Linked DNA regions of Stegostoma tigrinum. The protein of the gene in region 1 interacts with the protein of each later gene in a pairwise test. Links are inferred from orthologs where the notes say so. Each region holds a gene or a part of one and is shown on either strand. Other genes may lie near its edges.

What was found.
Region 2: the proteins of lamina-associated polypeptide 2, isoforms beta/delta/epsilon/gamma-like (region 1) and lmnb2 interact in a two-hybrid assay, tested with the Homo sapiens proteins (2 studies listed by BioGRID, with this or other methods). The link is inferred for Stegostoma tigrinum from reciprocal best matches to the Homo sapiens genes TMPO and LMNB2.

Annotation. Positions count from the first base shown.
Region 1 is NC_081378.1:53,057,085-53,072,923, reverse strand, and holds the start of lamina-associated polypeptide 2, isoforms beta/delta/epsilon/gamma-like, read right to left. Parts: upstream 7,340-15,839; 5' UTR 7,272-7,339; coding exon 7,041-7,271; intron 1-7,040. UniProt on the Homo sapiens protein: May help direct the assembly of the nuclear lamina and thereby help maintain the structural organization of the nuclear envelope. Possible receptor for attachment of lamin filaments to the inner nuclear membrane.
Region 2 is NC_081383.1:27,587,464-27,603,971, forward strand, and holds the start of lmnb2 (lamin-B2), read right to left. Parts: upstream 8,644-16,508; 5' UTR 8,490-8,643; coding exon 8,140-8,489; exon of another isoform or gene 7,111-8,139; intron 5,995-7,110; exon of another isoform or gene 5,808-5,994; intron 5,212-5,807; exon of another isoform or gene 5,203-5,211; coding exon of another isoform or gene 5,181-5,202; exon of another isoform or gene 4,846-5,180; intron 4,278-4,845; exon of another isoform or gene 4,236-4,277; coding exon of another isoform or gene 4,160-4,235; intron 1-4,159. UniProt on the Homo sapiens protein: Lamins are intermediate filament proteins that assemble into a filamentous meshwork, and which constitute the major components of the nuclear lamina, a fibrous layer on the nucleoplasmic side of the inner nuclear membrane.

The DNA.
Region 1 (15,839 bases):
TTGTTAGTGTTAAGGCAAAACTTGATTCCTGATATCTAACCTGTGTGAATTGCGAAGACAAACAAAACAATCGTTCAAAGTCATTTCCTCATTCTCCATGACAATCCCTCTAAAGGATAGTTCTACTCTGAAAGGAAATATTGCTAGAGCTGTTCATGGGTAATTAATAAAAGCAAAATACCTTCAAAGCATGCAACTCCAGAAGCATGAAGTACAGAACCCTGACACTACACCTGTGCATGTAATGGTTATGAATGCGTAGTTAAATTATTAGTGGCTGAGAGGATAAGCAGCATTAATTCAACAAAGAGCATAACAGAATAACATAAGTGCAAATAACAAGCACCGGGAGAAATACTTGATCCTTACTCTATGCATGGGGAGACAAAGGTCTAGTAAGATTATTGCTAGACTATTAATCCTGAAACTTGGCTAATGGTCTGGGGACCTGGGCTTGAATTTAGTGGAATTTGAATTCAATAAAAAAGTCTGCAATTAAGAATCTACTGACAATCATGAAACTATTGTTGAACGTCAGTAAAACCCATCGAGTTCATTAAAGTCCTTCAGAGAAAGAAATCTACCATCCTCACTTGGTCATGCCTACCTGTAACTCCAAGCCCACAGCAATGTGGTTGACTCTTATGTGCCCGCTGAAATTGTCGAGCAAGTCGACCAAGTCATAGCAATTGTTACGAAGTCTCAACAAAGATATGAACGACCTGACATTGACCTAAACGATGGCCCTGTGAACCCTGCAAAGTCCTCCTTACTTCCATCACAGAATAATCAAGCAACAGCCTGAGGTAACAAAGTTTGGAGCTGGATGAACACAGCAGGCCAAGCAGCATCTTCGGAGCACAAAAGCTGACGTTTCGGGACTAGACCCTTTTTCTGCTGAAGGGTCTAGGCCTGAAACGTTGGCATTGTGCTCCTAAGGTGCTGCTTGGCCTGCTGTGTTCATCCAGCTCCACACTTTGTTGTCTCGGATTCTCCAGCATCTGCAGTTCCCATTATCTCTGAAGCAACGGCCTGACAGTCATACTCATGGAGACATAACAGACAATTACCATCCCTGGATATGTCCTGTCCCACAAGCAGGACAGACCTGGCAGAGGTGGTGGTACAGAAGTATTTCGTCAGAAAGGAGGCCCTGAGAGTCCTCAACAAAGACTCCAGACCCATTAGGGCTCATAGCTTCAGGTTAAACATGGGAAAAGAAACCTTATGTTGATCACCAGTATTGTATTCACTCTGTTGATGAATCAGTTCACTTCCAGGTCGAACACTACTTGGAAGAAGCACTGAGGGTGGTATGTGTGCAAAACGTACTCTGAGTGGGGGGTTTCAACGTCGACACCAAGAGCAATTTGTCAGCAGCACGTGTGATCAAGCTGATCGGGTTCTAAAGGACACAGCTGGTAGACAGAGTCTGTGGCAGGTGGCTAGGGAACCAACGAGAGGGGAAAGAAAACTATCAATCTGTCAGCTGCAGAGATATCCGTCCAAGACAGTATCAGTAAAAGCGATCACTGCACAGTCCTTGTAGAGACGATGTTCCACCCTCACATTGAGAATAATCTACAAAGGTGCTGTTTAGCACTATTACCTTGCTAAATGGGACAACCTTCAAACTGTTCTAGCAACTCAAGAATGGGCATCCATGAAGTGCTTTGGGCTATCAACTGCAGCAGAATTGTATCCCAACAGAAGCTGTAACCTCATGGCCTGGCATTTCCTCCAGTCAACCATTAGTGTTAAGCCAGAGGAACAACTGTGGTTCAATGGAGAATGCAGGAGGGCATGCCAAGAGCAGTACCGACATACCTCAAAATGAGGTGTAACAGCATAAGCAGAAAGTGAGAGAAAAAGCAAAATGATACGCAACCAGTATGGGTTAGAAGGGGTGGACGCTAGGAAGTTGTTTCCGTTAGGCAGGGAGACTAGGACCCGTGGGCACAGCCTTAAAATTAGAGGGGGTAAACATAAATCTGAAATGAGACGACATTTCTTCAGCCAGAGAGTGGTGGGCTTGTGGGATTCATTGCCACGGAGTGCAGTGGAGGCTGGGACGTTGGATGTCTTCAAGGCAGAGTTCGACAAATTCTTGATCTCAGAAGGAATCAAGGGCTATGGGGAGAGTGCAGGGAAGCGGAGTTGAAATGCCCATCAGCCATGATTTAAATGGCAGAGTGGACTTGATGGGTCGAATGGCCCTACTTCCACTCCTATGTCTTATGGTCTTAACCAACAGATCAGGTCTAAGCTCTGCAGTCCATTCACATCCAGTCGTGAATGGTGGTGTTTTATTAATCAAATCACTGGAAGAGCAGCAGCTCCATAAATATCCCCATCTTCACTGCTGGAAGAGCCCAATACATTGATGCAAAAGGTAAGGCTGCAGCACTCACAACAATCTTTAACCACAAGTGCCAAGTGGATGATTCATCTTTACTCCCTCCAGCGGTTCCCAACACCATAGATACCAGTCTTCAGCCAATTTGATTCACTCCATGTGACGTCAAGAAAAGATTAGAGGCACTAGATACTACAAATGGGCCCTGATAACATTCCGACAATAGTACTGAAGATTTGTGTTCCATAACTTGCTGCACTCCTAGCCAAGCTGTTCCAGTATAGTTACAACACTGGCACCTACCCAACATGGAAAATTACCAAGGTATGGCCTGTGCACGAAAACAGGACAAATCCAACCCAGTCAATCATCCCCCGTCAGCCTACTCTTGATCATAACTAAAGTTATGGAAGATGCCACCAACACAGCTATCCAGCAGCACCTGCTCACTGACACCCAGTTTGAGTAACACCAGGGCCACTAAGCTTCGGACCTCGATTCAGCTTGGTTCAAACATGGACAAAAATGCTGAATTCCAAAGATGAGGCAGGAATGACATCTCTTGACATCAAGGCTGTATTTAACCAAGGAACCCTAGCAAAACTGGAATCAATAGGCAGTGGACAAAACATCTGCTCGTTGGAGTCATACCTTGTAGACAGGAAGACGGTTGGGGTAAGTCGTCTCAGCTCCAGGTCATCTCTGCAGGAGTTCTTCAGAGTAGTGTCCTAGGCCCAGCCACCTTCAAGTGTTCCAACGACCTTCCCTCCATCAAAAGGTGGGGAGTAGCGTTATGCATGTTGATTGCACATTATTTAGAACCATTCGTTGACTCTTCAGACCCTTCAGTCAATTTTCAAATGTAACAAGATCTGGACAATACTCAGGCTTGAGCTGACAAATGGCAAGTAACATTTGCACCACATAAATGCTAGGCAATGCCCATCTGCAATAAGAGACAACCTAATCACTGACTCTTGATATTCATTGGTGTTACCATCATCAATCCCCTCTATCGATATCCTGGGAGTTACCAGTGACCAGAAACTAATTTGGGATCATTATATGAACAGAGAGGGTCCATAAGCAGGTCAGAGGCTAGGGATAATGCAGCGAGTAGCTTACTTTCTGACTCTCCATTATCTACAAGGCACAAGTCAGTGTGCGTTTTAATACTCCGCACTTGCATGGATGGGTGCAGTTCCATCAACACTTAAGAAGCTTGACACCATCTAGGACAAAAACAGCCCACTTCATTGGCACCACATCCACAACCATCCATTCACTCAACCATCGAAACTCAGTAGCAGCAGTGTTACTATCTACAAGATGCTCCTAGAAATTCACCAAAAGATCCATAGACAGTATTTCCATCTAGAAGCACGAGGGCAGCAGATACATGAGAACACCACCACCTGCAGGTCCCTCTCCAAGCCATTCACCACCCTTACTTGGAAATATATTGTCGTTCCTTCACTGTCGCTGGTCAAATCCTGAATTCCCTCACTCTCAGGGCACTGTGGGGTTACTTACAGCTCGTGAACTACAACAGTTTAAGAAGGCAGCACATCACCTCCTTCACAAGGGCAACTAGGGATGGGCAAGAAATGCTTGCAAGCCAGCAAAACCTATGTCTTGTGAATGAAAAATAGTCATTTAGCTCGGAATTTTAAAACTCCCTCAAATGTGTTTCCTTTTTTCACCTTCAGCAGGCAATAAAGATAAAACAGGTGTTAAAATGACTGCAATTCTTTATTTCTAGAAAATCTGACGGTCTACTTCTTTGAAAAATAGAGTCAAAAACCCAGATTTTGCTGTCAGACTTATAATTTGAGTCAAGAGAAACAAACGAGGTAGCTGAATAATTGTTTATTGCTCAGGTGATGGTCGAAGGGATAAATGTAGCTGTTTATGGCTGAGGACAATAATTTAATAATTGGAAGCCTTTGAGTACTGCCCTGCCCCCAGATTAGGAGTTACACATTTGTTGCAAAGAATAGGAAATTACTGAAAGATAACTGGCAAAAAAAAATTCAATTTTCAATCTACAAACAGGAAGATAGTGAGTGTTGGCTTCTACTGGCAAGTTATAATTTTTATTCAAAGCAGCTTCAAGGCAAAATATCCTTGCACTGAATTTGTTAGTAACATTTATCAATGCAGTTTGAAGGTAATTTAGCGGAATCAACAACTGTAAAAACTTTAGCAAGTCACAGCAAAACTTCAAACTAGGAAGTAACATTTCAAAACCAGCTGCATTATGACAACATCTGGTCTTGGGCAACAGTTCATCACATGCAGCTTTTTACCAGAAACTTCTGTCAGAGACACAGTGGAGTACATCGAACAACAGTCCAGCCATTCCCCTGGAAAGAGTTACAATCTGCATCTGAAGTGACCATATTTCTAAATGTGATCCAGCTAAAAAACAAAAGTGGGAAAGTAGAATTGAGCTTTATGTTGTGCTTTGATCTCATGGAATGATGGAAAAGGGTTATATGGCTTATCCCTGCTCCTATTTCTTATCTACTAAAATTCTCAAAACTCCAGCATACTATTCATCAGCTCTACCAGTTGGTTACAGCTGTTAGATTCAAATTCAGTTGAAGTTTACCATTAAGAAATGAGATAAATAGTGAAACTAGGATTGCAGCTGAATAACAACACCTATTAAGAACCGGCTTTAACTTAGTGTTAGTCAATAGAAATATACATAGGAGGCATAGATAAGGAGACAGTTTTAGAGATGGGCATTGATTTGAGTGGACGCCTTACAAACAGACACAACACAGTAATTGTGTATCACACGCACTGAAATAGTCATAAACAGTCTAAAAGAAAAAGAAGATTGGGATTGCCATAACACAAGAAAAAAAGACAGGCTCTCTAGACATGCACCTGACAGGGTCAACCATATCTCATGTACGTAGACAAAATCTAACTGCCAATAAAAGTGACTTGATAGCCAAATCCATTGACTGGGCAGCGAGTGGGCTTGACAGGGCAGGTACAGAGAAGTTGTTTCCCAATGTAGGACAGTCTATAGTCAGAGGGCTTAATCTCGGAGTCAGATGTCAGCCATTTAAGACAAATACAGGGAGGGTGTTTCCTCAAAGGGAACTCTAGCCATGAATTCCTTACCGCAGAAAGCTGCAGAGGCTGTGTTATTAATATTCAAAAGCTCACATTATTGGATTTTTATTCAGTAAGGGAATCAAGTGTAATGGGGAAAATGGCAGGAGAGTGAAGTTGAGAATTATGAGATCAGCCATGATTGCCCTAAATGGAGAAGCGAACTCAGCTGGTTGAATGGTCTTCTTTTATTCTTACCTCTAAAAATCTTATGAAGATGACATAGTTGTCAAATGTGAGAAGTCATGAATGCTTACACTAAATGTGACATCTTTGAAGCATCAACTATTAGAAGTGTAATTCATCCTTTAACTTGAAATAGTCTTCATTTGCTAATGTTTAAATTCTGTCAATTTTAGTCAGTGTACTCCAGTGAAAGTTGCCCAGCAGTTTTCCTTCTGTAGGTATCCTTCTTTGAAAAAGTTGTCAGTCTCCAAGGAAATCATAACTAAAATGTGACAGTGAGGCCATAGAGGACTTGAATGCAGGATGAGAATTTTGACATCATAATGGTTATATGAAAGCCAGAAGCCTACAAGAGATGAGCACAAAAATGATGGATGAGCAGGAAATGAGAGTCACGTGGGAACACGAAATGAAACAACTGAAAAATATGCTCTGGGTATGGCAAAAAATATGAATGGAACCAGGAGAGTCCTAACTAGTTGAATAATAGTCGAGTGACATTCAATAATGTTCGGGTGTCAGGCTGAATGACAGATAGTTCCTCATATTCCACTTCTGGAACTAATGGCGACATTTCCGCCTAGCTGTCCTGAAGCTGACAACCATTGTCCATGTTTTCCATGGATGGGTGAAATCTGGGATTTCACCACTTGGGTCAGTTATTGGGTCACGGTTGGTGATATTTGCAGTCAATGTGCCGCAATGAGAAGCGGGACTGAATGCTGTGGGTATGTATGCTTCCTAACTGTGAAATGGGAAAGGCAAGTTAAACAAAAGATTAACTGAACCTGTGTGAATAAAAGCAAAATAGCGAAGATACTGGAATTGTGGAGCAAAAAGAATGTTGGAGAATGTTGCAGGTCTGGTGGTATCTATGGACAGAGGAACTGAGTTAACATTGTCACAAGTTCTGAAGAAGTCAATGTATTCCTTCAAAAGATTCAGTTCTGAAGTGGACAGCAAATGCTAACATTATTTCTCTCCGCGATGTGGAGATGTGCAGGTTCGGTGGATTTGCTATGTTAAACTGCCCACAGTATCTAGGATGGGAAATACAGGGACAGGGTATAGACTGGGATGCTCTTCAGAGGGTCGGTGTGGACTTGAGGGGCCAAATAGCCTGCTTCCACACTGCAGGGATTCTAACAAAAATTCTACGCAGAGTTTCACCATCACTTTCCGTTTATGTTTGAAGAGTTTCGCCTGTGGAGTTGGTTTTTGGTTTTCACACATGAACGGAAGTTGAGTAAATTGGCGCCACTTTCTGATTCTGATGGAGCGTTCATAAACATTGAGCGGGGACTTGGGGAGAAAGGGATGGAGGGCTTACTAATGTCCCAGGCCACCCACTCCCTGGCTTTCTCACCTTGCCTGCTCGGCCCCGGCCTCGGGTTGCCCCCAGTCCGCTGTCCGCCTCCTCATCGCTGGAGAAGTCCGTGCCGCGGCCGCTGTTCCGCGCCGTCAGGTGCTGAAGGTAAAGCTGGACGTAGACATCTTTGCGCTGGTCCCCGAGCGGCAGCTGCACGCTGTGGGCGATCAGCTCACTCTTCAACCGCTCTTTGGTCAGCACCGACGGGTCCTGCAGATACTCGGGCATCGCGGCTCGAGCTCCCTCTAGGCCTCACAACTCCCGCTCTGCCACCCACCAACAACGCGGGCCGTCATTGGCCCTGGGGCCGCACTAACACGTTCCCCAATTGGATAGAGGGAGTAACTGGGTGGGGCTGTAACCCAGGGTAACGGGTCAGGCGGGAAGAAGGAGGGTGATCCTGGCCATGGTCCACATTGTCTTCCTCACAGCTCCACAGGATGCAGGACAGCTTCTCATTTCCTCAAAGCAGTCTGCGCTAAACCTTCTCTCAGCTTCTTCCATCAGAGACACACAAAAAACTGCAAATGATGGAATCTAAGCTGGACAAACAGGAGGCTGGAAGAGCACAGCAAGACAGGCAGCATATGAAGGAAAGGAGCAGGCAACCTTTCGGGTATTACCCTTCTTCAGGACTGGATGTGGGGGTAGGAGGAGCTGCAGATAAAGAGAGGGGTTAACGGTGTGGTGGTGTGGCAGCGAGAAATGGGACTCACTGAGTTCATGTCTGAGGCAAGGAGAAAACTCCTTCAAAGTGGGCATCCTTTGAAGAGGTTTCACAGTGGTATAAACTTGATTAGCGACCACACGTAGACTGTCTCACCAAGCATCTACGCCTGGCCTGTAACAGCCAACCTAACCTCCCGGTCACCGCTCATTTCATTCCCCTCCCACTCTCCATCCTCAGCCTCCTCCAGTGTCACAAGTAACTCAGAACACAAATTTGAGCAACAACATTTTATCTTCTGCTGGGTACCGTGGAAGACTCAAAATTGAGTTCTCCAATTTCAAATAACCTTCCCACCCAGCGCACATCCTCCCTTTCATCCCAGCTACTGACCCTCCCTTCTAGCCACCAACTGGATTCACCTGTACCTACTATGTGTCCACTTATCTGCAACATTCCGCTACCTCCCCTCCTACACTTCTCCCTTTATCTGCAGCTCCCCCTAACCCCACATCCACTTCTGAAGAAGGATAATACCCGAAGGGTATTTCTCCTTTTCTCCAGATGCTGCCTGTCTTGCTGCGTTCTTTCAGCACCCTGTTTGTCTGTCTTAGTTTTTTCCATTGCATTAACACCTTTCCTTAGATAAAGTGACCAATACTTACACAATACTCCATATATGGTCTTACCAGTACCCTGAATAACTGAAGTATAAACTCATTACTTTGTATGTTCAATTCCCCTTGGAATAAACAAGCGCTTTCCTTGTTATTTGTAGTAAATTATGTCTTTTTTGGAATATAAAAGGCTTTTAAAATGTCTTTGAATGCCTTTAGGCTGCCAGTGGAATTCCTTAGAGAGCCTCTTTGAAGGATCACATATAGATGCAATGATTAGAGATTTGTGACAGCAATGAATTCAGTTTTTGGGGTGCAGTGGTTCTCACAGCTGGGCAGGAAGGGAGTGCAGTAGTAGTGAGCTGTCAGTGCATTGATGTTTTCTGTCATATGCTGTTATATGTTTTGGAACCTTGATGTACATAAATTGTTACTTGTGCTGGTTTGGTCTGTTTCACCATACAGATTTCAAGCCAGTGGATGTCAGTCTTATAGCACATAATGCTGTTTCTGGTTTGAAATGCCAGCCATGGACAAACATTCTTAAATCCCACAGTTAAGCTGGCATTGAGATTGGCACATATGATGATCATTGAACCTGGGATCAGGAAGAACTACAGAAGCAGTTCTGAGGAAAGGTCACCCGGACCCGAAACATTAACTCTGTTTTCTCCTCCACTGATGCTGCCAGACCTGCTGAGCTTTTCCAGCAACTTTGTTTTTGCACAAGAAGCAGGGAGCTGGAAGGCTGGCTTGACCCAGCATCATTGAGTGTTCTTCAGCTCTTCAGCCCTCGTGAAATTTCCCCTACCATGTCTGGATCCAATGACATCTCATATTGAATGTTTGAAGGTTTTTCCAGCTTGATACCAAATTTAGTATGAGGTGTTACTAAAATAAAAAAAGTAGAAAAAATATTGTAAACAGTTGACAAATGCTGGCTTCCCTTCTTCAATACAAAACATCTCCTTAAGTCCCTCTCTCCTGTCTTCTCCACCCTCACTTCCATCGTGTGTGAAGAACTAACTCAGATCTGAGTCATTTGATCTGTTCAGTAGCTTCTTCCCTAGGTAGACCAATGTCATTTGGACCATGTTAGTTTCCAGTCTTTTGGGAGCTGTGTTAGTCATTGCTTCTGAATGCATGAACTATGCATTCCCATATTGGAGCAGCTCAAATCTTAAGTTTAGTTTAATTTTAACCACTCTCTTTAAAAAGCAATAACACTTCAGCATCACACTCCAGTGTCAGTGACCAGTGTCACTTGCCAATGCCCATGTCCAGGGTTCAGTTTTCTGTCCAAAGTCAGCAACTAGTGCCTGGAGTCAGCGACTAAGGTCTAGTTTTCTGTCCAGTTTCAGTTACCCAAATCCTGAGGTTGCAGTTCTTATCATGGGGGAGAAATTCCTACAGGAGGCGAACGTGAGACTACAGCTAATTGAATAAAACAAATCAGAGCAATATAAAATAGGCAAATACCTGTTCAATGAACAATTTTGAGATGTATAGAATGCATGCAGCACTTAAGTAATGAAACACGTCATTCCATATATAGATGATGTAGTTTATATAAAAACGATGACCCCGACGTGATTCGAACACGCAGCCTTCTGATCTGGAGTCAGACGCGCTACCGTTGCGCCACGAGGTCTGAGAATCCTGCTCTGGGAAATCTTCTTAAAGCTGCAGCTCGCAGTGCATTTTTTTTACTGTTAATTCAGCTGCGAACCTGCTTGGTCCTGGTACTGACGGTGGCCCACGCCTCAGCCCGTGGTACCTGCTTCCCGGGGTCGCCCCCACCCACAGCGTGCGCCCACTCGGGGCCCACCACCCATACCCTTGTGACACTGCAGCACCACCTTCTGGGCGGGAGTGGGAATGGCAGCCAATACCGTCTACTGCCCTCCAGAAGGTTTAGGTGTCCTTTCAGCTGTCACATGTCGTCCTGCTCCTGATGTCGAAACTTTTCATTTCCTTTGCTTTGTTATAAAGCTTCATCGAGAATGCTGATACTTGTTGCCTGTCACTAATTGAAGAGACTCCTTTAGCTACTGCATCTGTAGCGATTGTAACGAATTCAGCCAGGTGGAGCATTTTTTGCTTTGATTTATTATTGTCACATGTACCTAGTTATGGACAGGTAAAATTTTGTTTTGCAAGCTGGCTGTGAGAAATCTGGATCAGTGTAAAAATTTCTCCACGTGCAAATAAAGGGTGACTTGGTGACGGGATAGCAGCCTCTTTGGAATGGCGATTATTGGCTTCCCATGATAGAGCTGCTTTCATCCTTCTAACTTGCAGGTCAAGTGAATACTATCCTGAGTTTTGGCACAATTCTTCAGTTATTCTCATCCTGAGAGGACTTGTGATTTTGGTCCCACTCCTCACCTCCATGTAGTGGATGGTGGGAGACTGGCCACTCAGGAGGCAAGCTTGATGTCTGAAGATGCCAGTGAGAGATAGGAAATCATCTGGAGAGGGTGCAGAGGGGATTTACCAGGAAGTTGCCTGGGCTAGAAAGTTTCAGTTATGAAGAGTGATTGGACAGACTGTGATTGTTTACATTGGAACAGAGGAAATTGAGAGCATAAACAGGGTGTATGGGAATAAACATCTCCCCTTGGAGCGATCAATGACCCAGGGCACAGATTTATGTTAAGGGTCAAAAGACTTTGAGGAGATGAGGGTGGTCAGAATCTGGAACACACTGCCTGTAAGAAGCAGTAACCCTCATAACATTTAAGGTGCAGTCTCATAGTTCATTGAAAGTGGAATCGCAGGTAGACAGGGTGGTGGAGGAGGCATTTGGCACGCTTGCCTCTGTTGGTCAGTGTAGGAGTTGGCATGTCATATTGTGGCTATACAGGCCACTGTTGGAATACTGTGTGCAATTCTGGTCTCCCTGCTATAGGAAGGATGTTGTAAAACTTGAAAGGGCTTGGAAAAGATTTACAAGGATATTGCCAGGGTTGGAGGCTTTGAGCAAAAGGGAGACGCTGAATAGGCTGGGGCCGTTTTCCCTGGATTGTCAAAGGCTGAAGGGTGACCTTGTAAAGGTTTAGAAAGCCAAGAAAGAAGTAAATAGGGTGAATCGCAAACTTTTTTATCCAAGGATAGGTGAGTTCAAAACGAGACTCAAGGCTTAAGGTAGAGGGATAAGATTTTTAAAAGGGACCTGAGAAGCAACATTTTCACATGGAATGTGGTGCGTATATGGACTGAGTGCCAGAGGAAGTGGCGGAGGCCTTGGGGTTACGGTGAATTTTGACTACAGAGAGCAGAGACACCAGCGAGTTTTGAGAAGATTTGTAGCTCAGGTTGAGGTTCTGGATGTGAGTTTGCTCGCTGAGCTGGAAGGTTAGTTTTCAGACATTTCGTCACTTTTTTTTAATTTGAAAAAATATACTTTATTCATAAGATGTACAAAAAAAACATATTTATACACCTACCCAGTCATGCAAGCCGCTCCGGGTTACCCAGGGGGTACGTACACCAACTAAAGGGAAAAAAACAAACAAAGAAGAAAAAAAAACAAAGCAAAGAAAATACCCCGGCAGTCGTCACCCCGCACAGTCCCCGTTGGCCCCCTGACCAGTTGGGAAAGGCGCCAGCTGGGCCCAGTTACCAGATAGGGCCCTTTTTTTCTATTCTGGACGAGGGGTTTCATACCGTGGTCTTTCCCCACCGCGCCTTGGCGGCAGCTGCCCCAAGCTTTAGCGCGTCCCTCAGCACGTAGTCCTGGATCTTGGAGTGCGCCAGTCTGCAACACTCGGTCGGGGTCAGTTCTTTCAGGTGGCAGACCAGCAAGTTGCGGCAGACCAAAGAGCGTCTTTCACCGCATTGATGGTCCTCCAGGCGCAGTTGATGTTGGTCTCGGTGTGCGTCCCGGGAAACAGCCCGTAGAGCACGGAGTCCCGCGTCACGGAGCTGCTCGGGACGAACCTCGACAAATACCACTGCATCCCCCTCCAGACCTCCTGCGCATAGGCACACTCCAGAAGGAGGTGATCGACAGTCTTGTCCCCCCCGCAGCCACCTCGAGGGCAGCGTGCGGTGGCGCAGAGATTCCGGGCATGCATAAAGGATCACACTGGCAGAGCCCCTCTCACCGCCAGCCAAGCAATGTCCTTGTGCTTGTTTGAAAGTTCTGGCGATGAGGCATTCTGCCAAACAACTTTGGCAGTCTGCGTGGGGAACCACACGACGGGATCCACCCTCTCCTTTTCCCGAAGGGTCTCGAGGATACTATGTGCTGACCACTGCCTGATGGCCTTGTGCTCAAAGGTGTTTCCTTTCAAAAATTTCTCCACGCAGGACAGGTGGTATGCGACGGTCCAACTACTCGGAGCGTTCCGCGGCAACGAGGCCAGGCCCATCCTTCGCAACACCGGGGACAGGTAGAACCTCAGTAAGTAGTGACACTTGGTGTTTGCATACTGAGGATCTACGCACAGCTTGATGCAGCCGCACACAAAGGTAGCCGTCAGGGCGAGGGTGGCGTTCAGTACGCCCTTTCCCCCATTTTCCAGGTCTTTGTACATGGTGTCCCTGCGGACCTGGTCCATCCTCGACCCCCAAATGAAGTGTAAGATGGCCCGGGTGACCGCAACGGCGCAGGTCCAGGGAATAGGCCAGGCCTGCGCCATATACAACAGTACCGAAAGCCCCTCGCACCTGACAACAAGGTTCTTACCCGCGATGGAGAGGGACCGGAGCGTCCACCTCCCCAGCTTCTGCTTCAATTTGGTGATACGCTCCTCCAAAGTCTTAGTGCACGCCCCAGCTCCACCAAACCAAACACCCAGCACCTTCAGGTAGTCTGTCCTGACGGTGAAGGGGATGAAGGAGCGGTCATCCCAGTTCCCGAAGAACATGACCTCGCTCTTACCCCTATTGACTTTGGCACCCGAGGCCAGTTCAAACTGGCCGCAGATGTCCAATAGTCTACTCACCGACCGACGATCGGTGCAGAAGACGGCGACATCGTCCATGTACAAGGAGGTCTTGACCTGAAGGCCTCCGCTGCCTGGGATAGTCACGCCCTTCAGGCTCACGTCCTTCCTGATGGATGCGGCGAAGGGCTCCACACAGCACGTGAACAAGGCAAGAGAGCGCGGGCAGTCCTGCCTGACTCCAGATCTGACGGGAAAACTGTCCGATTCCCACCCGTTGATCGAGACTGCGCTAACGATATTGGTGTAGAACAGCCGGATCCAATTGTGGATGCCCTCCCCGAACCCCAATTTGGAGAGGACGTCCCTCATGTAAGCATGAGAGACCCTGTTGAAGGCCTTCTCCTGGTCCAGGCTGACGAGGCAGGTGTCCACCCACCTGTCCTGTACGTAGGCGATCGTATCCCTGATGAGCGCGAGGCTCTCAGCGATCTTCCTGCTCGGCACAGCATAGGTTTGGTCAGGGTGAATCACCGACTCCAGGACAGACCTGACCCGGTTGGCTATGACCTTGGCCAGGATTTTGTAGTCCACGTTCAATAGTGAAATGGGACGCCAATTCTTAATTTCTTCCCTCTCCCCCTTCCTCTTGTAAATGAGGGTGATGATGCCCTTCCTCATGGACTTGCACATTTCCCCTGCCCGAAGCGCACTATGGTACACCTCCAGCAGGTCCTGGCCGACCAGGTCCCACAGAGCGAAATACAGCTCGACCGGTAAGCCGTCGCTCCCGGGAGTCCTGTTCCTCTCCAAGGACTTGAAGGCTCTGGTCAGCTCGTCCAGGGATATCGGCCGGTCCAGCCACTCCCATGTGCCGTTGTCTAAGACCTCCGTGATAGACGACAGGAATGACTCAGAGGCCGTGCTGTCCGTGGGCTTCGTGTTGTACAGTCCGGCATAGAAGGATCTGCTGATCCTCAAAATGTCGGGCCGAGACAACGTCACCGAGCCGTCGTCCTCCTTCAGCCGGCTAAGCACAGAGCTCTCTTTGTGCACCTTCTGAAAGAAGAAACGTGAGCATGTCTCATCCTGCTCCACGGAGCGGACCCTGGACCGGAAGATTATCCGGGAGGCCTCCGCGGCGAAGAGCGAGGCTTGCTGGCCCCTCACCTTGCGGAGGTCCTCCGTGACATCGACCCCCATCAACTGCAGAAGGAGCAGGTTCTGCACCCTTTTCTGGAGTCGCGACAGCTTTCCCCGCCTCAGTTTCGCCTTCCGAACACCCTTGAGGACAAAGAACCTCTTGATGTTCTCCTTCACCGTCTCCCACCAGTCGCCCGGAGACTGAAAGAGGGGTTTCACGGTTCTGCAACCGGTGTACTCCCTCTTAAGCTCCTCGACATTCTCTGGGGTCAACAGAGTCGTGTTGAGCTTCCACGTCCCCTTGCCGGCCGGCTGGTCGTCCTGTAAGTGACAGTCGGCCAGCAGGAGGCAGTGGTCAGAGAAGAACACCGGCTCGACGCCGGTGGACCTGACCAAGAACGCCCGTGACACAAACAGGAAGTCTATCCTTGAGCGAATAGACCCGTCTGGCCGCGACCAGGTGTACCTCCGCTGCGCTCCGTCTGCAGGGGTGCTGAAGACGTTGAGCAGCTTGGTGTCCTTCAGCGTGCCCATCAGGAATCTGGACGTGACGTCCAGTTGACTCCCGCCACCCACTGTCCCCACGCCGGATCTTCCATCTGCATCGATGATGCAGTCGAAGTCTCCGCCTAGGATGACCGGCCTCGATGTAGCCAGCAGGGGTGGAAGCCGCTGCAGGACGGCCAACCGCTCATTCCGTACCGCTGGGGCGTACACGTTGATCAGCCTCAGGGGAGCGTTCCTGTAGGTGACGTCAGCCACTAGGAGGCGCCCCCCCCACCACCTCCTGAACTTGAGAGATGGTGAGGTTGCGCCCCCGCAGCAGAATAGCCAGGCCCGAGGAGCGACAGTCGTTACCCCCCGACCAGATCGAAGGCTCACAGGTCCAGGCACCGGACCATTTCCCGTACCTGCCAAGGTGCCGTATCCCGCACTCCTGCAGGAGGTCCGCCTTGATGGTGGTCAGGTAGGCCAACGTGGACACACATCTTGTGGTGGACTTGATACTGCGCACACTAATGCTCGCACCTCGTACCCCCATTGTGGGCAGTGACCGCAGTACCCTCCCCAAGTCCAAGGTCCAGCCCCTCCATCTGTCCCTTCATTCCCATTGCCCGGGCTAACTGCTGGATGCTCTCCGGGCTCAGGAAACCGTCCGTGCTGCCTTCCGGGTGGCATCCCCCCGTCGTGGGTGTGGAGGCAGGAGGGTCCGGCTCTGGGTCAGGCTGGGGACGCGCTGTCTCCTCCTTCCCGCCTGGAAGTTCCGGGGGGCCCTCCAGTGCTCCAGCGGCACTTGACTGGGTGTCGGAGGGAGCCTCAGGACGTCTCCCGTCACCTGGAAGCGTGGTGCTGCTTTCCTTCTCCCTCGAGATCTTTAACTTCTGCTTCGGGTGGGCCCTCTCCGAATCCCCCTCGTCAGAGGAGCTCTTATAGCCCCCCTGTAGCTGCCTCTTCCCGCCTGATGGTTGTGGTTCCT
Region 2 (16,508 bases), on another chromosome or scaffold:
CACCGCATTATAAGGAGGATGTGGAAACTTTGGAAAGGGTGCAGAGGAGATTTACTAGGATGATGCCTGGTATGGAGGAAGGGTCTTACGAGGAAAGGCTGAGGGACTTGAGTCTGTTTTCGTTAGAGGGAAGACAGTTGAGAGGTGACTTGATTGAAACATATAAAATAATCAGAGGGTTAGATAGGGTGGATAGGGAGAGCCTTTTTCTCTAGGATGGTGACAGCAAGCACGAGGGGGCATAGCTTTACATTGAAGGGTGAAAGATATAGGACAGATGTCAGAGGTGGTTTCTTTACTCAGCGAGTAGTAAGGGAATGGAACGCTTTGCCTGCAACGGTAGTAGATTCGCCAACTTTAGGTACATTTAAGTCGTCATTGGATAAGCATATGGACGTACACGAAATAGTGTAGGTTAGATGGGCTTCAGATCGGTATGACAGGTCGGCACAACATCGAGGGCCGAAGGGCCTGTACTGTGCTGTAATGTTCTATACGGAGTTATGGACTTGGATAGAAAATTGGTTAGCAGACAGGAAACAATAGTAAGAATAAACTGGCCTTTTTCCTGAATGGCTGGAAGTGACTAGTGGGGTACAACAGGATCAGTACTGAGACCCCAGCTAGTCACAATATTCAATAAATTGTTCAGATGAGGGAACTAAAAATGTAATATCTCAAAATTTGCAGATGACAATACTGGGTGAAAGGGCGAACTGTGAGGATGTTATCTAGACATTGCAACATCTTTTGGAAAGGCTGACCGAGTGGACAAATACCTGGTAGATGTAGTAATAGACAGATAAATGTGAGGTTTTTCACTCTGGTAGAAAATTACTTGAATGGCTGTAAACTGAGAGGACAAAAACTTTCAACAAGACCTTGGAGTCCTCTTGCACCAGTCACTGAAAACAAGCAAGCAGATGCAGCAGGCAGTAAAGGCAATACCTCATGACAATACTGTGGCTTTAGGAGATCTATTTTGTCCCTTTTTGTTGAAAGGAAAAGGCTTTTTAAGACCAGGATGCTGGGCTGTCTATTTGAAATGCCAATGAAGCTTACGGCTTGAGAGGTCTTAGGTTTATTTTTCTAAAACGTTGGGACAATAGAAACAGCTTGAATGGGTGTGGTCAAGCTCTCAAAGAGGATTTTTAGTTTTTCAGTCTCTGTAGCAGTTGCTGGCTCTCTTCCTGCTACATGCTGAGTTCTCTTGATGTTTTTCCTCTTCAGCTGCTGGAGTTGCATGTGAGAAAATCTGTTTTTCATATCTGTCTTTTACAAAGGGTGTGTTTTATGGGGTGTTATAATATTGGAACAGTTAGTTAGCAAGTTATTGAATCTATAATTGTTAATTTTTCCAATAGAATTACAGCTAAGCCAATTATGTTCCTTATTCTTTTGATATATTTTAACTGCAAGATATGAATAAGTGGTGTTTTGCTTGACAGTGTAGTTTGACAAACTGAATGGCATTTGGAATGCGACACCTTACATTTAAAATGAGAACTGTTAGGGTCTAGGATACCTTCTTAATATTTGAGGGGGTTTGGTGTGGTCCATAGCCTTCATAGCAAAAGTATTTTAGTACAGGAATAAGAATACCTTGTTGCTATTATACAAGGCACTGGCAAAGCCATACTTGCAATACTGTATGCAAGTCCTTGGATAAGCATATGGATAATGATGGGATAGTGTAGGGGGAGGGGCTTAGATTAGTTCACAGGTCAGCACAACACCGAGGGCCGAAGGGCCTGTTCTGCACTGTATTGTTCTATGTTCTATGTTGGTCTCCTTATCAAAAGGGTGTTCTTGCTGTAGAGTAAGTGCAGTGAAGGTTGACCAACCAGACTCCAGGATGGTCAGTGAGGGGTGAGGAGTATGTTACGATTACATTCACTTGAGTATAGAAGGCTGAGGGATGGGGGTGTGCTTAGAAACCTATATAAAAAACAAGATTTAAAAAAAAACCAGGACTAGACAGGTTAGATGCAGGAATGACATTCTGGATGGTGGTGGTGGTGATGGTCTCCATACCTAAAGGATTGGAGGCAAAACTATTAGGGAGAGATCAGGAAAAATTTCTTCACCCAGATATGTGGTGAGCCTGCAGCATTCACTATAGAAAATGTGGTTGAGAACAAAATGTTGTGTTTTCAAGGAGGTAGATCTAGCTCATGGTTAAAAAGGACATTTTGTTGCTGGGGGAAAAGGAAGAGAGGGAGAGAAAAGGTGGTGGGTTACAGAATGGAGCTCTACGATCAGTCATCCTGAATGGCAGTACAGACTCAAGGGATCAAACGGCCTACCCTATCTTCAAACGCTTGATCGGTTAAATTTAAAATTTTTGGAATTGGTTAACTGTGGTTAGTCATAAAACGTGCATAAAGTGAAAGACATTCTTTAACAGAATATAAGTGTCTTACATGAAAAAAGATCTAAATACACACACAAATTGAGAAATAAAAACTCAAACCCATCTCCCAATTCCATCTCATCAGAAATTCAATTCTAATGAAATACTACGCTCAGTCCTTTCTCAGCTGAGAAAAAAAATTAATATATGTTTAGTTTATTTTCCTTCAACTGGGGAGATAATTTTATTACTCCTTTCAGCATCTGATGGCATGACTTTCACAATTCAGATGGCCTCAACTCTCAGTTCTAACAATATGGAATTCTGACCTGGAAGTTTCAGAAACTATAGAGATAAAACTGAAGTGACAGCTATCCTGAACTGACTTGGTGGAAACTGCCTTCCCCACTTCCTGCGGACCCACACCACCCCCCCCCCAAAAAAACATGGTTCTCCTTAGAGGAAATATTTCTTCTTCTTCTGAACTGTAAGTTTTAAAACACAGATAAAATAGAAACTGTTGGAAGAGCTCAGCAGGTCTGGTTGCACTGATGGACAGAAAATCAGAGTTAACATTTCAGGTTGAGTGACCCTTCCTCAGAACTTGACCCTTTCCAGAAATTTCTATTATCCTCTCAGATTTGTAAGCTTTAAATATTCTGTTCATAGAATCCCTACAGTATAGGAAAAGGCCACATTTGCCATGACCTCGAAAGAGCATCCCACCCAATCCTCATTTATCATGGCTGATCCAACTAGCCTACACATCCTGTGACACTTATGGACAATCCATCTAGCCTGCACATCTTTGAATTGTGGGAGGAAACCAATATAGACAGGAGAAAATATAAGCGCCACACAATCACCCAAGGCTGGAATCAAACCCGTATCCCTGGCGTTGAAAGTCAGCAGTGGTAATCACTAGGCCACTGTGGATTCCCCTTATGAAGTGATAAATCTAAACTAATTGCCTTTAAAACATTTACTCTGCTTGTCATAAACCCAACAATATCTCGTCCATTAACACTGCAGGGATCTGTACAGAACTTGATTACAATCATGCACCATGGAACTAATGGATTTAAGGTCACTATCCAAATAACTGACCAAATTCCAATTGCCTTTTTAAAAAATCCAACATTTCAAAGTGACATTAGACACCTTTCATCATACTATACAACAATTAATTTCTGAATTGTTAGACAAAGACCCCAAATTCATTCAAAACACTCGTTTAGACTTAATTTTACAAAACATCTTGGCCAATCCTTCTTTTAGTTGTGCACCTGGAATCCCAAGCAAATTTTTAAAAAAATCACGATTTGCCATGTTAAAACAACTGAATGAGTGATCTGCGTAATTCCTTATGTCAAAACCAACTGTTTAAAATAAACTCTTACTCAATTTTGCAACCGAAACATGTTAAAACGAGAAATTAGACACGAGAAACCACAATACGATTTCAAATCCTGCTACAGCCGCCCTCCTGATTCAAACTATCCAGTACCAATGCACTGTAAAAGACAGAATCCACCGTGTCAGGAACAAAGTTAATGAGAAATCTCAATCCTGATCCTTATTGGATACTTAGTTACATTCGATTGGCTGCTCACTTGCTGTGCTACAATTTAGTGTGATGAAGGGTGTGTACAGCAACGCTATTTTTGGACTTCTGAAGCCCCTAAAAACTGAAGCTTAGCTGGAAATTGTTTTAAACTATTGCCTTAGCTAAAATTTCCCGCATGTTCAGCGATTTAGAGTACAACGATACTCCTCTCCCTCCCAAAGAATATCCACGTCCCCCACCTCGAAAGAAAGCCGGGAACCGCTGACCCATTTCAGTTTCATTCCGTTTCCTGTTATAGCGTGATCTAGCCGACATTAAATCCACGAACACAAATTAGTTGAAGCTGCTGCACTGCAGTAGATTAAAAAGAGATCTTATTCAGAAACAGAAAAAAAATCGATAAAGTTTTCTAATTGAGTCAATACAGTGTGCAGCAGTCCTGACGAAGGACCCAGGCCCGAAATGTCGACTCTCCTGCCTCTGATGCTGCCTGGCCGGTATTCCTCCAGTTCCACTTTCGTCTAGTGGCTATTCTATCCAGCTCGATACAATGGAGTCATGCATTCGCTGCAACCAACGGCTTAAGAACATTAAAAGCTGGATAAGAACCGGTATTCCTTCCCCACCCAATACAAATATAGCGCGGTATCCGGAGATAAAGCAAAATAACAAACAATAAAATCGATAACGTCCGAATTAGATTAGGTCGCCAACCCCATCGGTTTTAAATAGATGTAATTATTCCTGAGCATATTCCCTAAAATGTGATGGATTCTTCTCTACACGTCTTGTTCTATTCAGTAAAGAAATAATGGGCGTGATTATTCATTACTCCTGAACATTAGGTCTGGCACAAAGGATTAGGGTGTAGATAACAAAACCATTGCGCGCAGTCCCCTTGGGGCAGCAAAAATGAAGGCGTATTAAACCAACTGAAATTTATAGCAGCCATCCAGATGTGTTCTCCCCCTCCCCCAAAATTAATGGAAGACAGGTTTTGGTTAAAGCCGAAATAAAAGGAAACGTTATTTCATCCAACTAGAACAGGATTCATATTTTCAAGATGAATCCCATCACAACGGGGCCAGAGGAAAAAAAACAGATCTACAATGGAACCACAAAATGGTGAAGCAATTTTTCATAATGCCTGGAAGACTAGCAGGCTTTACATCAGGAAATTAAGAGATGCCGCGCTGGTTCAACATACTAATATACCATGAAAACAAGGATATTCTCTCCATTTGTAGAGAATGAACGCACCTTGGGTACGGTACATTTTCATTTCAGAAACGTCCGTCCATCAATTTTCGCATTTAAAACCGATAAAACCATTATCTTCGTTTCAACAGCAATCCCATTTTCACATTTGTAACTGTGTTAATGGGACAAGAGATTCCAGCACTTGCAACTGCCACTCAAATTACAATTAAAGGATTTTTAAAAGAAATTGTCAAAAAGGTGGTCACAGCGCTACGGAGAAAACAACGACAAAGCAACGCGCTGACATACAAATCAGTAAGCTCGCCAGATATATTGCAGAAGCAAAAGAAAAACCAAATTGCAACTAGGGTAGCCATTTCTCGCTTTGCATGTATAAAGCAGCAGGTACTGGCCAACATGATTCAACTACAGCGCCACACACCTAGTGGCTTTCCAGTCCCATCCGCTACATACAATATTTTGACCTTCAGTCGGTCATATTGCCAACAGAAATAGCGAAACAAAAGCAAAAAAAAAAAAAATGCACCACGGGTCAGTTTACAGCTCTTGCATAAACTGACCTACGAGTGACAAACAATATTGCCATTCAATTATATCTGCCAGCTTTCATCATGGGATGTTTTCAAGTAGAATTTTTTTGATAATGCATTTGTGTTTTGCTTCTAGGATGTCGAGGCTACAGCAGGCAAGATAATTCTAAAATTACCTCTGACCCCAGCCCATCATCTTCCCCTGAAGAGCAAGGTAAAGATTCAGAAATCAGAACACCCATCCCTGAAGCAAATATACTGTGAAGAATCTAAACTCTTGAGTAGTCACATGGTTTAAAGTACAGAAGCACCTGGTCACCAAGGTGAGAAATGATTTCATATACATGAGGAACATGTGTTTCACCAGCAGAAAAAAATTGTCTCCCAGTTTGCAAATGTTACTGATCAAGACAAGGAGGTGCAAAGACAAACTTTCCTTGAGTAGAGAAAGGTTTTTGTAACCAGACTGACATTTCAAACCAAAAATTTTGGATACAAGTCCCAGATGCCATAGGTCTGTAGTTAAACTCAGCATTTACAGCAGGAACTAAAAATCAGGTACAAATTATTTGAACAAACCCCAAACAATTGAAAACATTTTACAGCTCCAAAACTATATTCAGACATAGCAGAAGAAATTTATACACTTCAGACCCGTCACCCACCTTCACTAAGTCAGTTATACACTACAGAATCAGACCATTTGGTCTAACTCATCCTTGCTATCAGTTTAGGATATCTGGTCTAGTCCGATTTGCCAGCATTTGGTCCATATTACTCTAAACCCTTGTTACAGACGTACCGATCCAGATGCCTTTTAAGTGTTGAAACTGTACCGGCCTCCACTACCTCATCCCATAGACACACCCTTCTGCAAGAAAATGTTGCCTCTCAGGTCCTGTTTAAATCTTTCCCCTCTCACCTTTAATCTATGTATTCTAGTTTTGGATTTTTCTACCCTGGAAAAAGACCTTGGCTTTTCACCCTATCCATGCCCCGCATTATTTTATAAGCCTCTAAGGGCCAGGGCTCCGGGTAAAAAGCCCTACCCTAATTCAGCCACTACCTACTATTCAAGCCTCCCAATCACGGCTCGTAAATCTTTTCTGTACCGTTTCAAGTTTAACAGCATTTTTTTCTATAGCAGGGAGACCAGAATTGAAGGCAGTATTCCAAAACTGGCCTAACCAATCCCCTGTACAGCCGCAACATGACGTCCAAGAACTTTTGTACTCAATGCACTGACCAATTAAGACAAGCATGCCAAATGCCTTTTTCATCTACCGGTGACTCCACTTTCAAGGAACTTCCTTCACGTTGATTGAAAATTGATCTCCCATTAACTTCAATATTGATTAACTTTATGCTCAAAGAGGAAATTCAACAGGTAGACCAATATATTTTTCAAAATAAAACTAAAGCCTATCCTTCTTTCCCAGCTTCAGGTTCTGCAGCATCAGCTGTTGCCTTCATAGTCTGACAACACCCACTGTCCACAGTAACCAAAGAACGGTCAGTTCATTGAACTTCACAAAAGGTAAAGAGCTATACAATGAGCTTTCAGGAGAATTGTTTACATGGATTTATTTTGACTTTAAAAAGAAAAATCAGATGAAAAGGAGTTGAAAGATTCTATAAAAGGAATTAAGCAAAAAGCTCCAAATATCTTCCCTATCAAGGTCAATACTGTGTAGAGCTGGAAGAACACAACAGGACAGAGGAACAGGAAAGTCGACGTTTTAGGTCAAGACCCTTCATCTCTATGAAGATATTTAAAGACTGCAGATCATTAAGATCCTTGGGCACCAAAAGGATGGGGGAAGGAAGAGAAATGTGAAAGAGATAGATAATCAGTTGTGACCTCATTAAAGAAGCAGCCACATAGCTTATTTAAATTCCTATTTCTTACGAGTGTCAAATACAGACAAAAAGTCATGAGCAAAATTTAACAAAAGACTAATCTTGGTCAATAGTTCCTCTTTGGCCTTGACAAAATGTGTATTAAAATATTCCTACAATGTAGTTAAAAGTAAATTCAACCAAATTTATTTTAGAATGTTACAAAGTATAAACAAGTAGCTATAATTACTCGAAGATCATAGTACTTAGTAAAAAGAACTTCTTACACAGGCAGGGAGTGTTAAGTACGGAAAAGTAATTTCAACAACTGCCAATATTAGCAATTTTAAATTAGAATACGACTGTCAAAAAATGTAAACAGTTGGGTGAAGGAGGACTACGATGGTTTAGTTCACTAAACATACACACACGAAAAATCAAAACTTTAACAGGTACTTTGACTCAACGGTCTCTCCCTCTCAAAAAAGGAGACATTGAATAGATTGACAACTGAAACTTAACAACATGGGAAAGGGCACGTGTGAAAATGCAGCTTCACATTCAATATAAACAGACAACCAATCAGTCAAGTTCATATTAAAAAGCGGGTATTACATATACTACTTTACTTTTTGCTGAGTTCATCCAGCTCCGCTTTGCTCTTGCCCAGTTCGATCTGCAGCTTCGCCTTTTCCCTAGCTGTCTCGTCAAGCAATCTCCGAGTGTCGGCCAACTCCGTCTCATACATGGCCTTGATGCCGGTCAGTTCACGGGTCGTCACCTCTTCCTTTTCGGAGATCTTAAGTTGCAGAACGCTATTCTCGCACTCCAAGGAGCGTACCTTGTCGATGTAAACGGCCAGGCGGTCATTGAGATTCTTCAGCTCTTCTTTCTCCTGGATTCGAGTGATCCGAGTCGGGCTCAGAGGCGTTTGGGCCCCGCTGGCCCGGGTCTGTTTCTGAGCCGGAGTAGTTGACATGGTTAAAACGCCTTGGTATTTACCCGATTAATTAAAAAAATACACTTTTACTGTTTCGTAAAAACCCGTGCTGCTAAACCCCTTTTATTCAATGAACTAGAAAATGGCGCCGTTATCATGCGGCGCTCCTCCAGGGGTATAGATGACGGAAGGAAGTAGATGCGCTGCAGGCCGGGAATTGTAGTCCGATTAAGCCGCCCTGTTTGACTCTTTGTCCGGATGTTGATGACTGGCTTCCAGAGCGACGCGTGATGTTGCCTTGCTTCGTCTAAACCCACGAATGTTCGTTGATTGTCAGTTTTGCATTTTCTGGACCCAGGATTGAAGCCGGGTGGACTACAAATCCCAGTGTGCCATACACAAAGTCCAGAACCAGACTGGTACTCGCCCCCAGCAACGATTGGCTCGTCTGCAGACAGTTAATTGTCAATCATTTGTGCTGGCGCCCACCTCCACGGCCGTCCGCGCCCCAACGGAAAGCGCGGTTTTCAAATTTTGGCGCGCGTCGACAAACCGCAACAGATATGAAGGAATTGTCTCGGGATTTAAGTGTAATTTGAGAGAGGGGTGAGGTCATTATCTGATCAAACGACTAATCTTTTTTGAAAAACTAAACATTAAGAATCGCCAGCTTCAATATATTGTATTTCCCCTTTTTACTTAAATAATGAAGTAATCCTCGTTGCCAAACAGCCCCTCTTTAATATAATCCAGAGGCTGAAATAGAAGGTTTTTAAAATTTTCTTCTACAGGAAATATTCAATTCGCCACCGATTAGTTATTTTCAGCTCACTCACTCACGTTCAGCTCCGTGATATGTAACGTATCGCCTTTCGCAAAATGTTGTTTTTTGTTTTGATTAGCGTGCTATGTACTGTATACTGCCCACTATAGCCTATACAATTATATTTGTTAGACACGAAGACAAAAGTAAAATTAACCTGAGCCTGAGTTTCCATAATTGAATTGCTCACACCTAATATACCTGTCTAAATTATCAATTGGTTAATGTATTTGATTTTTTAAAATCTTATTAATATGGAACAGAAAAACACTGAGATAATAAAATATGAGGCTGGATGAACACAGCAGGCCCAGCAGCATCTCAGGAGCACAAAAGCTGACGTTTCGGGCCTAGACCCTTCGTCAGAGAGGGGGATGGGGAGAGGGAACTGGAATAAATAGGGAGAGAGGGGGAGGCGGACCGAAGATGGAGAGAAAAGAAGATAGGTGGAGAGAGTATAGGTGGGGAGGGGATAGGTCAGTCCTGGGAAGACGGACAAGTCAAGGAGGTGGGATGAGGTTAGTAGGTAGATGGGGGTGCGGCTTGGGGTGGGAGGAAGGGATGGGTGAGAGGAAGAACAGGTTAGGGAGGCAGAGACAGGTTGGACTGGTTTTGGGATGCAGTGGGTGGGGGGGAAGAGCTGGGCTGGTTGTGTGGTGCAGTGGGGGAAGGGGAGATTTTGAAGCTGGTGAAGTCCACATTGATACCATTGGGCTGCATGGTTCCCAGGCGGAATATGAGTTGCTGTTCCTGCAACCTTCGAGTGGCATCATTGTGGCACTGCAGGAGGCCTATTGATGGACATGTCATCTAAAGAATGGGAGGGGGAGTGGAAATGGTTTGCGACTGGGAGGTGTAGTTGTTTATTGCGAACTGAGCGGAGGTGTTCTGCAAAGCGGTCCCCAAGCCTCCGCTTGGTTTCCCCAATGTAGAGGCAGCCACACCGGGTACAATGGATGCAGTATACCACATTGGCAGATGTGCAGGTGAACCTCTGCTTAATATGCAAAGTCATCTTGGGGCCTGGGATAGGGGTGAGGGAGGAGGTGTGGGGGCAAGTGTAGCATTTCCTGCGGTTGCAGGGGAAGGTGCCGGGTGTGCTGGGGTTGGAGGGCAGTGTGGAGCGAACAAGGGAGTCACGGAGAGAGTGGTCTCTCCGGAAAGCAGACAAGGGTGGGGATGGAAAAATGTCTTGGGTGGTGGGGTCGGATTGTAGAATGGATTGTAGAAATAGATTACAAAAGTCAGTTTGCTCTGAGTTTGTTCTTTTCAACCAGACTCTTCGCCCTCACTTAATCTTTCTGGAACTCTTTTCTCATTTCACGAGCCGTTGCTACAAGGTGGACTGAATAGCTTCTTACACCTAACAATTCCGTGATTATGTCTTCTCAATTTTCCCATCTCTTACACTGACTTTTTTGTGTGGAGTGGGCAGGGTGTCACCTCTGGTCTACGTAATGAAGTCAGTGATGGTAATAACTTTTCAAATCTGAAATTTGTGGCACATTAGATTTACAACATACGTCAATCTTCCTTTTAACCACAGCGATTATCTGAATAATATCTTTCGCCATATGGCTTGACTGTTGTCAGGATATAATCATGATGTAACCATTTAAATAGCAACATACGCTAAATCAAACCTCGCAACGTCAACTTTCCTGCTCCTGATGCTGCCTGGCCTGCTGTGTTCCTCCAGGTCCACAGTGTTATCTCTGACTCCGGCATGGGCTGTTCTTACGATCTTTAAATCATACCTTATTATTGTTTTCTTCATTTTCATTGCCCTTTGTCATTTGGTGCAATCTCCAATCTGTATTAGAAGTCACAACTGGCTATAGTCAACACACTTTATTTTAGCTGGTGCGCCTAATTTACTCAACCACTGAAATCCATGTTTCTCATTTACAAAATTTCACTTTTTAAAACACATCAATTGGAATAAGTTAAATTCACTTATGTAATTCCAGCAGATTGTACCAAAGTACTCAAATCATTCAAATTGAAATTAGTCTTAAATTTTGTTTATATAGAAAAAGCACAAAACTGGTAAAACAGGAGGAACACTGAAAGTTCTATCCCAAGTATCTTTTTACATTGCAACTTTGAACGATTATAAATCACCTGTGCTATGATAGACAAAAGAGAAATAAAACCAGAAATGCTAGAATAAGTTGGCAGGAGTGGAATTCCCACATGAAAGGTCACTGACCAGATATGTTAATGCTGTTTCTCCATAGATGTTCCCAGGCTACCTGAGTCAGATGCCGAGTATTTGGCTTTTGTATTAAGGAAATGAAAAATACTTTGCTTAATTTCTCAAAATGCAGATATTTTGCAGGAATTAAAACATCAAACTATGGCCTGGAATTGTAAAAAGCAAAATACATGCTCAAACTCTGAAATAAAAATATATTGCAACCTCAATTTTAAAATCTCATCCTAAGTGATCTTCCTTGTCTGAGGTGCCATATACTTGCATCACTACCACACTGGAACGAGCACTGAAGTCTTGGAGTGTGATTATAAAATCTTGAAATTGTACATATATCAATATTATTACTGGTCCAATATTTATACTTAATTACAATTTCCTGGCTTGAACTAGATGACTGACCCAGCAGTGGAAAATTAAAATATAAGCCTATCTACCATCCTCTGACAAAAAGAACAGGAAATGACATCACCAACCCAAGGAAACCTAAACAGATAAATAGAAAGCGGGACATAACACCCGCGCTTCACTGGAGGCTCACCCATGTTGTTACCTAGAAAGGTGATGAAACGTCTGAAAACGAACCTTCCAGCTCAGTGAGCAAACTCACATCCAGAACCTCAACCTGAGCTACAAATCTTCTCAAAACTCACTATTAAAATATAATTTATACATGCCAGCAAAGCAAACAGATTTTTTTTGGTTTTATTTTAACCTATCACTTTAGTTGGGCCATATGTATGTGATGCCCTTAAAAGTGTACTTGTTATGTAAAAAAATTGTATTGCAGTGCGGGGACAGCTCGGTATGACCCTTATTAAAATCAAGAGGTTCGGAAGTGGGGGAAAAAAGCAAGAAGCCATTAGATACCTAAACATTTAATGACTGAGAAATGGTGACCAAAAACAGAGCAGAAGCCACACGTTTACAATTGGTTACTTCTTAGTGGCGAGGAATTGAAACTCATCAGCTCTTTATCAACCACTGGGAAACTCTGATTTTGAAGACAGATTTCATTTTAAAAACCAATGTAGAGTTCAAACAGACCAAGTTTTTTTTTGTCTTGAGATTTCTACCTCAATTCTTGAGCATTTTATGGCCTTTGTGTATATCTAAAGACTCACTTGCCCTACCTGTACTGTAATTTACTGGGCTGAATGCATTACTTCACTACAATATGAGAACCAAAAAAAGATCAGTATACAGCACAGGAACAGGCCCTTCAGCCCACCAGACTGCATCTTCTAAACTAAAAACCTTTTACTTCTATGCTGTCCTGTATCCCTCTATTTCCTGCCTATTCATGTTTCTATCAAGAGACTTAAATGTTGCTGTTTTATCAGCCTCCTCTGTCAGTGTTCCAGGCACTTACCTCCCTCTGTGTAAACAAAAACCTGCCTCTCATCTCTCCTCCTTTAAACTTATCCCTTTTTTTTACCTCAAACCTCTGTCCTCTCGTAATTGACATTTCAACCCTGCAACAGAGACTCTGGTTACTGATTCCTATCATAATTTTGTCAACTTCTATCAGGTGGCCTCTCGCCCATTAAAGTTCAACTTATTTGTTTGTACATATTATTATTTCGTTGAAATATTTACAAAGTGCTGGCACCAACATAATATTGCAGTTTGTATGTGTTGGCCATATCTTTAAAATGTATTTGCAAAATGTCAAGGATTTAGGTGTTCCCAACAAGTAATGTAATTTTGACAAACAGCACAGAATTAATAAATCAAATCAATAATTAATAAATCAAGTGTCAGCTTCAACTTTGTTCAGCATTCATCCTTTGTATGATTCATGTAATGTAGTCCAGTATAGGTGACACACCTAGGTAAAATCAGAACAACTTAAAATGGGTGCATATCTAGGAGTCATGATTTCATTACAGTTTCCTTTGCACATGGGTTATTCCCAGAACAGCGTGGAAAAGACTTGTCCAAATATCCAGCAGTTGTCTTTAGATCAACTATCATGGGAGGAAACAACAGTTGGAAAAGAGGAGGGAAAAAAATCGCTGTCTGACCTAGTTCACTGCAATATTGGTGAGATTTTTAAAAGGAGTGTGTGGGGGGTGGGGAATAATTTGAAAGTTTAAAAAAATGCATTTGTATCAACTCCTTCAGATTAGGAAGACTGGAAAAATTGACAAGCAATTTTGTAAAAAGGTGTTAAATGTATGTCACCATCTACCACATTTCCCTTTAAACTGGAATGTTATTTACTTGATCTACTGCAACAAGGCTTAGGTTTTATTATATCTGGAGTCTCTTTTTCAAAAAAAAAGTTTTTAGCAGTTGAAATCATTGTTGCTGATTTCTCCTAAAAAGGGAATGGTTGCGAAAATGTTCACCCACTTTCTTTTGATTATAAAGTGAATCTATGGCCCTCTAGTGGTTTGAATAGTTTATATTTTGTCAATTTTATGTGGATTTTATTGCATACATGTCATTTTCTACTTGTGTAACAATAAATTCTGAAATGGAAATTTGTACACAAAAATCATTGCATTTTCCAGGAACAAAAAAAAGCTGCTGGAAAAGCTCAGCAGGTCTGGCAGCATGTGAAGAAAAAAAAAATCAGAGTTAAGGTTTCGGGTCTGGTCTTTCCTCCTCAAAGGACCCAAAAAGTAAACTGACCTTTTCTTCACATATTCTGCCAGACCTGCTGAGCTTTTGCAGCAACTTCTGTTTTTGTTCTTGACTGACAATATCCACAGTTCTTTTGAATTTTATTTTGTGGTTTCCAGCTTTGGAGAAGCTTTTGTGGCAAAAAATAATGTTTGCTTTGGATTTAGTAAAGTATTCTTTTATCAATCTTTGCCTTCTTTCTCCATGTTACTAACAGTTGCTGATGTAACTTTTTAAATCGTGTCATTAACACTTTGGTATCTCTGCTAAATAGATGTGCTGTTTGAATTGGGGTACATCAGGGACAGTATCCTGTTTTCATTGATTTCAAAACCAGCCCTAACACTGACATGTAGCACAGAAGATGTCCTTTGGTCCATCAAGTCTGTTCCAATTTATCTACATTAATCTCACTTTTCAACACTTGGCCCATAGCCTTGAATGTTATGATATTTCAAGCACACACCCAAACACTTTTCCTGAAATCTCCTCTACACCCCCTGATTTTCACCTTAAAATTACATTCCCTTGTTATTGACCCGTCAACTAAGGGGAACAGCTGCTTTCTATCATCCTGATGCACCTCAAATAGGTCTGCCCGCTCTGCATTCTCAGCTCCAAAAAGGAAAAAAACAAATCTATCCAAACTCTCTTCATAGCAAAATCCAACTGGCCAGCATGTTGGTTAATATCCTCTGCACACCCCCTAGTACAATTAAGGACAACAAAGTGTGGAGCTGGATGAACACAGCAGGCCAAGCAGCATCTCAGGAGCACAAAAGCTGACGTTTCAGGCCTAGACCCTTCATCAGAGAGGGGGATGGGGAGAGAGAACTGGAATAAATAGGGAGAGAGGGGGATGCGGACCAAAAATGGACAGAAAAGAAGATAGGTATTACAAGAGAGTTGCAGTGGGAGATAGATTCCCTGAGGTTGGTCCGGAGGGAGGAGGGTAACTTCTTCAGGTTAGGCATCCCTGCAAGAGGCTTCGCAGTGAGATTAAAGCTGTATCAGTGATAATGGGAACTGCAGATGCTGTAGAATCCAAGACAACAAAGTGTGGAGCTGGATGAACACAGCAGGCCAAGCAGCATCTCAGGAGCACAAAGTGTTCATCCAGCTCCACACTTTGTCATCTTGGATTCTATAGCATCCGCAGTTCCCATTATCACTGATATCCCTAGTACAATTACATCCTTCTTACACTGCAGTAACGAGAACGGCACTCAGTACTCCAGCTGTGAGCTAGCCAAAGTTTTGTAGAGCTCCAGCATAATCACCCTGCTCACGTACTGCATGCCATCTAATCAACCTGTTTCTATCTTCCAGTAATCTAAGCTCTTCTTTCTCACTGGTAACCACCAAACAATCTTTGTCATTTGTAAACCTACTTATCATCTCTCTCTTCCTTTTCCACTCCTGCCCCGCCCTGCCATTCTCATCTACATCATTTACATGTCATAAACAATAAGGATCCAGCACTGATCCAGTGATATTCCACAGGACACCATCATGATGGCCAGGAGAATCACACGAGTACTTTTTACTGCCCATCCATACTCTGCTACCTGTTCTCCTAACAAAGATAAATTACAGACCATAATGCTAGATTCGTTTCAGGAGTTCTCAAACTGTTTTGTCTGTGAGCACCTGTGAACATTGATCATCTACCCCTTCTGCTTTTGTTTGCCATTTCAATAAAACTCAGCAAAATTAATGGGAAGTACATAAGTACATTGTTACTTTTGATGAAATTTCAATGAGGTGATACCTGGCCCTGAGCTGAAGAGGTTCAGTCTCACATTGGACTCTACATGTAGCAGTTCCTCTGTTTTCAGCCCTGCAAGAGTTGAAAAATACACAGTCTTGCACTTTTATATTGTAAAGTAACATAAATCTTGCTTTTAAAACTACATTGCTTGTCAAGTTTATGATGAGTCATACCATGCATGTAAGAGCTGATCTGTTGTGTGACGTCACAAGTGATAGAGGCTTTTGGTCTGTTCTCTTCTATAACCTTGGCCATGGTGTTACAGTTCAGTGGCTAACATTTTGGATCAGCTTTCAACTTGAAGGATAATTGTAAGCCAATAGTGGTCTATAGACCCTGTTGAGAGCCACTGACCTACTTGAGTTTAGCTAATGTGGCACAATATTTCCAAGCTCTGCTCTTTTGATCTTGCTACCTTTGCATTTTATGCCATCAGAAGAGTCACATCAATGGTAATATAGTAGTCAGCTGCACTAAAATATGGAAAGATTAATTTCCTACTAACGTCTAGTTACATCAGTGATCTCTACATGATAACAGTGACTATATTTCAACAACTAGTGAACTGGTTATAAAGCACTTGGTGATATGCCATTCTGAATATCATGATTTAAAAGC